2 linked regions of the Arabidopsis thaliana genome follow. The protein of the gene in region 1 interacts with the protein of each later gene in a pairwise test. Each region holds a gene or a part of one and is shown in the gene's direction. Other genes may lie near its edges.

The links.
Region 2: the proteins of AT2G44340 (region 1) and WRKY51 interact in a two-hybrid assay, tested with the Arabidopsis thaliana proteins (one study listed by BioGRID).

The regions. Positions count from the first base shown.
Region 1 is NC_003071.7:18,311,953-18,315,881, forward strand, and holds AT2G44340 (VQ motif-containing protein), read left to right. Parts: upstream 1-2,235; 5' UTR 2,236-2,326; coding exon 2,327-2,893; 3' UTR 2,894-3,370; downstream 3,371-3,929. UniProt on the Arabidopsis thaliana protein: May function as positive regulator of plant growth.
Region 2 is NC_003076.8:25,906,294-25,910,468, forward strand, and holds WRKY51 (WRKY DNA-binding protein 51), read left to right. Parts: upstream 1-1,953; 5' UTR 1,954-2,121; coding exon 2,122-2,363; intron 2,364-2,470; coding exon 2,471-2,617; intron 2,618-3,198; coding exon 3,199-3,394; 3' UTR 3,395-3,588; downstream 3,589-4,175. Other genes in the region: CLE21 (CLAVATA3/ESR-RELATED 21), read left to right, coding at 1-110. UniProt on the Arabidopsis thaliana protein: Transcription factor. Interacts specifically with the W box (5'-(T)TGAC[CT]-3'), a frequently occurring elicitor-responsive cis-acting element. Involved in defense responses.

The DNA.
Region 1 (3,929 bases):
GAAGGCAAAATTCTTAAAGGAATAAAAAAAAAAATTCTTCATACATCACATTGGACATGTATATTGAATGAAAAAAAAAAAGAATCACTGAACTCCAGTTGACGGTTTTTTTTTTTTTTTTTAATGAACTCCACTCTCTAAATATCTAAATTGATGGATGATATGATTTCTAATTTATGGCCTTTGCATATATATATTTGTTTTAAGCAGTTCGCATATGTAGAACAAGTCTCCCAGTCCGCGTAATGGCATTTAATAATGACTACATAGATTTTTTTCCCCCAAATTTATGTTATTCACCTGATTTAAAACAAACAAACATACAGCTATTTTTTTTTTTTGGTGGAACAAACATACAGCTATTTATGTAACCATACAGCTATTTATATCGAATCTCTGAGATTTATGTAACCAAATGCGCCAATTATATCAAATAGTATGGTTTACATTTATAGATTTAAATAAGTTTGACTTCTAAATGGATTGACGTTAATATAAACAGAATAATTATCAATACTGAAAGTCTGCAACTAATATGACCTCTCCCTATGATCATAGGCTATTGTTTGCAAGAATTAATTAATCAAGGTCAAAACCACCAAATAGTGGTTTCGTACAAGAATTCACCAAAAAGAGTGATATTGTATAAGTAAAACCAAAATTATCACACTTAGGCCAAAGCAACATCGAAAGGTGGACTACATAGGCGGTAGGCTTCAAGAATTCACCAAAAAGAGTGGTGTTGTATACTTGTATAAGTACATATATTATATTCTGCTTATTTCAAATTAAATGTAATTTTGTAGAAATGATCATTATTGCAAATATGTTGTAACGACTAGAAAATAAAACACAGTTCCGTGTGTAAGTTTTCTAAGACCTCTCGATAATACTCGAATTCTAATTCGACTCTCCAATTATCTAAATATGTTTTTTTGCAATATAAATAACGACAAATTACGTAATGTCAACGGAGGTTAAATCCACCCTGTCGCTCTTGTTTGCTTCTTTGGCAAAACAAAAGTCAACTATTATTTTATTTCTTTGCAACTTTCAAATTCTTTATTGTAGGTTTGTATGTCATTTTTGTATAAAATATTTCTTTCGTACAAAATAATTACTTAAATAAAAACCAACGAGTACACATTTTTTCTTTGTTTTTAAGCACACAAAGGCATATCTATCCGTGTCGACACCTCAAACATGTGTAGATGAATGATCTCATGCATATGTAAGTGTCTAAACATAGAGATGAAAATTGATGAGATAGACATTACAAACCTATTTAAGTGGGGATAGTTTAGAAGGTAACTTTTGGTTTTATTAAAACTAAATTCAAACAAAATTAGCTTATACGAAAATTAATGATCTGCGTCAAGTGGGATCTTCATGTTTATTACCTTGGTATAGTTATATATATATATATATAAATTATAAGAAATATGACTTAAAGAGCATCATCAAACCAAAGAAAGTGAAATAAAACTTATGATTTGAATTAGGTCGGTTTTCAAGTGACCGTTTCCTGAGTCAGATTTTGACCCCACAAATCGATATAAAATTGCATGCCATTTTAGTTTCCATCTACTAATATTGTTATAAGTTATGATAAAGTAAAATTCCACACACGACGTCATTAGCCAAAACAATATAACGGGACTATCAATCATTTGATCATGTAGAGACGCCCAAACCGTAGATTCATTATTACGGCTTAGACAAAAAATGAAACTAGTAAAAGAAGTGTTTTCAAATAGAATTAGCATCATATTTAATTATTTTTCTACAGAAACTATAGGGAAGCCAAAAACAGAACAGAACAGACATGCCGACAAATTAAAACTTTCACACACACAGACACATTTGCGACCAAATTAAAGACATATATATGGCTCACGCTATCTGTTTAGATATTCTAACTATATGATGTTTGTATAATATTATAGTTTAGATTTATCGTCAGTTGATTAATCACAAATCATAAACACATTATTTTATTCCGACTGTAAATTAAAAATTAAACTAAAATGTACTAGTGTAAAATAATAGTGATACACACATAAAACTTTATTTAAATCAAGTTGTTGTTGTGTGTCATGGAGGCAGGTCCATAGCTGTTTCGTTATACACCTTCTTTGTTATTTCAATATTCAAGTTTGTTGTTAATTTAATGTTATTGACTAACCAACAATCCAATATATTTATAATTATCTATATATAAATAACCCGCCGCAGTATTATTCCACGGCATACGAATTATTTTGGTTCAAATTACAGATATCTAAAAAAGGATCAAATCTTTTCTCAATCGTTTATAGTTTCTTCAATGGAGATTACTCAATATCAAAGTTTTCATGAAGGTTCGAGTTCTAGGGTTTCCATGAACAGGAATTCACAAGTAATATCCAAGATCAAACCCAAGATTCGCATAATCCATATATTTGCACCGGAGGTCATCAAGACCGACGTCAAGAACTTTCGTTCACTCGTCCAGAGTCTAACCGGGAAACCGGCACCGGGAGAAGCCAAAACCGGTAAAAAGAGAGCCAAATCAAGAATTACGACTCCCCAAGAACCGGTTTGCGATGATCATCAGCCGGTCAACAGGCTTTCGGGTTTCACCGGTTTACTAGCAAACGGAGGAAACCACCAGGTGAAAGAAGAGTGGGGATCAGGTGATCAGAGTACTTCGAACACAAACACGTACTTTGATCTAGAAGGTTTAATTCAAGATGTCGGAGAAGATTACTTCTCTTCGTTTCCCATGAGATCCTCTTCTTCTTCACAAGTCGAAGGTTTCATCTTCAACAACAACAACAACAACAACAACAACAACAACAACAACAACAACAACAACACCAACTTCGATACAAAGGCTCATAATTCGTCTTAATTAATAACAGATTAATTTCTAGGGTTTTCAATCTTATTGATTCTGCAAATCGCATTTGGTGAGATGAGATCTAATCGCAACGATAAGGTCATATTTTGTGGGAGAAAAAAGGCATAGAAGTTGTATATAGATATAACAAATGGGTATGATGAGAGACATAAACTTTTGGCGGGACTGACTTTGCCAAGGTTGAGAGTTGTGATGAAGAGAGTTTAATCTACGTGCAGCCCTTCTAGGAGAAGTGGCTGTATCTAATTAAGATGTGGTCGGTCAAAAAAGCCCTAGTTTTATTATGTAACTTCATTGATGTGCTATTATTGGATGTGTATTAATTCTTTGGTGTGCAGATAAATGTGATGATTGCTGTACTTTAATTTTGGGGAAAAAGTTTGTATGGAATTAGAACAAGGATCGACTTGTTTTCGATATAGATACTCTGATTGATTGTGTATATTGAATATCGATACTTACATAACGGTTATTCGGTTAAAGTACAGTTACACTAATTAAATTAAACTGTAAGTTAACAAGAATATTCTGGCTCAAGCTAAATTATTTTTTTTATTATTATTGTTTACTAATCTTTTGTTACAAATGTTGAAAATGATATTTATTATACATGTAGTACTTCAACTAAAATAAATAACGTGTTTTCATATTTGATGTACGTGTATAATATATCATTTTCAACAGTGAGTAATATTAACCCTTTTATCAAAATAAAGTAAAACAAAATGATATAACCTATCAACAAAATGCAAAGAAAATTGATCCGAACCGAATATAGCCGTAACGGTACACCAAAATTGTTTTGAGATTTTAGTGTCCGTTGACCTTTTCATATAAAGCCAAATTATTCGGTCTGGTTTCCAAAAGAACGAAAAGGTATATGATTACGGTTTACTCCCTTGCTTCTGTGTTTTGGTTTAGTTTGGTTTACCTTCTCAAAGTTCTCGAACGTCAACATTTATTTTATCTTATTTTGTAAGGTTCTGCACATGTTATACTTATTAATTAGTCTACTTTTTCAGGCATT
Region 2 (4,175 bases), on another chromosome or scaffold:
ATAAAGTTAGACGAAGATCGTCTAGATTTCGGAGAAAGACGGACGGCGACGAGGAAGAAGAAGAGAAACGATCTATCCCCACAGGTCCAAATCCTTTGCACAACAAGTAGAGTACTGACTACTGAGAAAGATGCAACATACTTCGACTTCGTAAATTGTTCGTTTGGTGTATATATGTATCGTTATAAGTTAGTTTACTTTTCAAGATTAATAGTCTTTAATTAGGTTGGGTTGGAAACTCTAAAATAGTATGAGATAAATTTCAATTGTTTCTAGCATTTAAATTTTGTATGCTCAAAGTTGCTGGAACGATATGGCAAACAGAAATAATGGAATCGAAAAAATATCGTGATATGTTAGAATAAACTGAGTAAAAGTACGTTTTTGTGAATTTTCTTTTGTCATTGTAATTTGTTTTAACAAAATACAGTATTATTCTTTTTTACGTACTAATAAGGTATATTGTTGTATATATAAAGGTCAGTAACTTGTAACTCATCTTTTTTTTTTGTTTTTTTTTCTGTTTTAGCTGATAGGTGGTTGGTGTTCATTAATAAATGTCCATATATCACTTTCAAAGCAATTCACTAAAATATAGATATGTAATTATTTTTTATTTTTTCAGATTTTCCCCTTGAAAAAGGGGTTCTTTCAATTAGAACCCCACACTAACACACTCCTTCACTTTTGGCCAGCCGCCCTTCTTTTTCAGTCTTTCAGTTTATATTTTAGCCTCTTTTTTAAAAAATACTATATTTTATTGCTTTTTCTTCTTCTTAATTACTTTAGTTAATCATAGTTAAAACACATTTTTTTGTGCAAACGTTTAAGTTTTAACACTATCTGATTTTAAACTTTTAATCATTTGCATGTAAAATCACTCAAATAGGTAATATTTATATGATTCCAGTCATGTGTTTCTTAAAAACAGAGCCACACTACATGTTTCTGTGTTTATTCTCAGTTAATTAGTTTTTATGTTTGTTTTAACACAATACAGAGAGAATATTATTGTAGTTACAAAAACAATTAAGAGTGGCACCAAGAAATTTCGTCTTACCTTTTAAGACAAGATTAAAAGACCACTTTGAAATTTTGAATCGTTGACTTAAGAATAGACTTAGCAAAAAAACTTGGTCATACATATATGATATATGTGTGGGTCAACGATTCATATATGTATGATGATACATTGCAATGTGCCAAAACTTCTGGAAGAACAAAAAACGACTAATAAGAAAAAATAAAATATATAAAATGTTGCCAACATTAAAAAACGCATTTGCTGTTTCCCATCAATATTGGAGTATAGTTTATATAAGATTTTTAACAATATTATAAGCTAGTTAATTAATAGAGTTAATCTTTGGTAAAAAAACAGACGGAATTTTATAACTTTCGAAATCATATTGATCTGCATATATATATATATATATATATATATATATATATGTGGATTCACCAGACCAGATGAGATAACCATTTTGAAGGATTTGCTAAATAAAAGTTAGGCCAAAAAGAAATCAATAAAGTTTGTGACAATATCTTTAATAGTATAATTTACATTTACATAATTCAATAAGTCAAATCTTATTGTGTCTTGGTGTGCACTGTAAAGTAAAGTCCTGTCTGCTTCAAACGCAGCATAAGCAAACTTACAACTTAAATCCTCAGCCGTTGATCCAAAGACCAAAATCCAATTATCAACGTTACCTAATGTAGACGATAAAATCTCTTAAAATGGGCCCGTAAAGCCCAAGCAAAAAAACAATTACTTTAAGTGGAAGCTCACTTTTCGCCACCCTTATTAACGTCTGTCCATACGTCATAACAGATGACGTCATCATCATATTCCTTTTTTCACACGTGGCATTGAAGCACCTTCCTAGTATCTACCCTGAAATTGCTTGACATAAGTAGTAGTTGTTTAATAATCTTTATCTCTTAATTATCCTCTTTTCTTAACAAAAACTTGTTACAATAATTTTCATTTTTATATAAATAACTGACCATTATAACTCTTTCTCTTCTCTTCTTCACTTGCTCTAGTTCTTGGATGCTTTAAACCTCTCTCTCTCTCTCTCTCAATTATTTTTTTTTCTATTTCAAAAACAAAAAAAAATGAATATCTCTCAAAACCCTAGCCCTAATTTTACGTACTTCTCCGATGAAAACTTTATTAATCCGTTTATGGATAACAACGATTTCTCAAATTTGATGTTCTTTGACATAGATGAAGGAGGTAACAATGGATTAATCGAGGAAGAGATCTCATCTCCGACAAGCATCGTTTCGTCGGAGACATTTACCGGGGAAAGCGGCGGATCCGGCAGCGCAACAACGTTGAGTAAAAAGGAATCAACGTGAGTTCCTTTTTAATTATTATTGTTGGCAAGATTCTTAACCAAGCAATTAGTATTTCATTATATATAGTTTTATTCATTAATCTTTTTGATAATAAATATTGTAGTAATAGAGGAAGTAAAGAGAGTGATCAGACGAAGGAGACGGGTCATCGAGTTGCATTTAGAACGAGATCGAAGATTGATGTGATGGATGATGGTTTTAAATGGAGGAAGTATGGCAAGAAATCTGTCAAAAACAACATTAACAAGAGGTAACTTATTCATTTACAAATTACTCATTTGATCTAATTAATATGTTTTACTAGTACTTGTTTTTAACATAACATATGGTTGCTTGATAATTTTCTATAACCATCTTGTAATCCTGTTGTTATAGAATATATAGCCACTAGCTAGCTAGACCATATAGTGATTTGAATACTATTTAATGGACCCGTATTATCTACCAACCCACTTGGAATAAAATTTAGCTTCTATATACATCATGCATGTGTGTTTTGTTTATACAAATATATAAAAGGTTCCTATAGCAAAATTGATTGATTAGTGGTATATGGATCAATGAATCCATGGTTGATAATCAGTCATCGTATAGATTTATTTTGACTCATATATCATAAGAGAAACAAATATAATGAATTCATCATCTAAACATATCACTTTCATTCAAAGCATGGTTTGAAAGCAATTTACACACTCTGTAATTGGTTAATGATATTCTTATATATATACATACATATATATATATATATATATATATATATAACTTGGTGCGATATATTATAAAAGTGATTACAATTTAACATGTGGTGGATGAATTTATAATATAAAGGAATTACTACAAATGCTCAAGTGAAGGTTGCTCGGTGAAGAAGAGGGTAGAGAGAGATGGTGACGATGCAGCTTATGTAATTACAACATATGAAGGAGTCCATAACCATGAGAGTCTCTCTAATGTCTATTACAATGAAATGGTTTTATCTTATGATCATGATAACTGGAACCAACACTCTCTTCTTCGATCTTAATCCAAATCTCTCATCCTCGTTGAGATTGTAAGATACCAACAATATTAATATTATAATCTCAATGCTTTGTATAATTTGATAGGTGTATAATAAAGGAGTTACTTATTTCGTGGTTATAAATGTTTAATGTATGTATATTGCTATGAGTACATTTTGTAGGTCACTGACTCACTAGATATAAAATCTTAAGCGTATATTTATTTAAAAAGTAGTGTTGAATTTTTTTGGGTCACGGTTGTCCAAAATACTGCGATCTGAATCCAATCCTTATTTGATTAGACTCAAGAATGATTTAGAAAAACCTGAATTACTTGTATTCTTATATCCATTATTAAACCGACATTTGACCCGAAATGCGTCAGACTAAGATTGTACCGGGAAGGAAATGTGAAAAAAGCAACTTGTAAAAAAAGCCTGTGTGACAGCTCTGTAACTTGTAAGCGTCAACGAGGTCAACTGTTTCGGTTTAGTTGTTACCGGTAATTTGGTTTATAATGGATTTTGATCGGTGTGATTTATGATCCGGTTTTGGTGCGTTGTGTAGATTGTCCCGAACCGATCTCATCTTCTACCTTTCAACAACTTAAGCAAGGAAACGAAGTCGTTTCATATCTGTTCTTCCGCCCAAATCTCAAACACTAGTAAGTAAATTCGAAGGGAGTCTTGGATCTCTCTGATCTCGATCCAGATTCTCTCTACTTCTCTTATCTTCGATAGAGAAATTTGTATCTTCAGATTTATTCGAGGAGGAAGACGAACCCTACTTGATTGATTTAGGAGG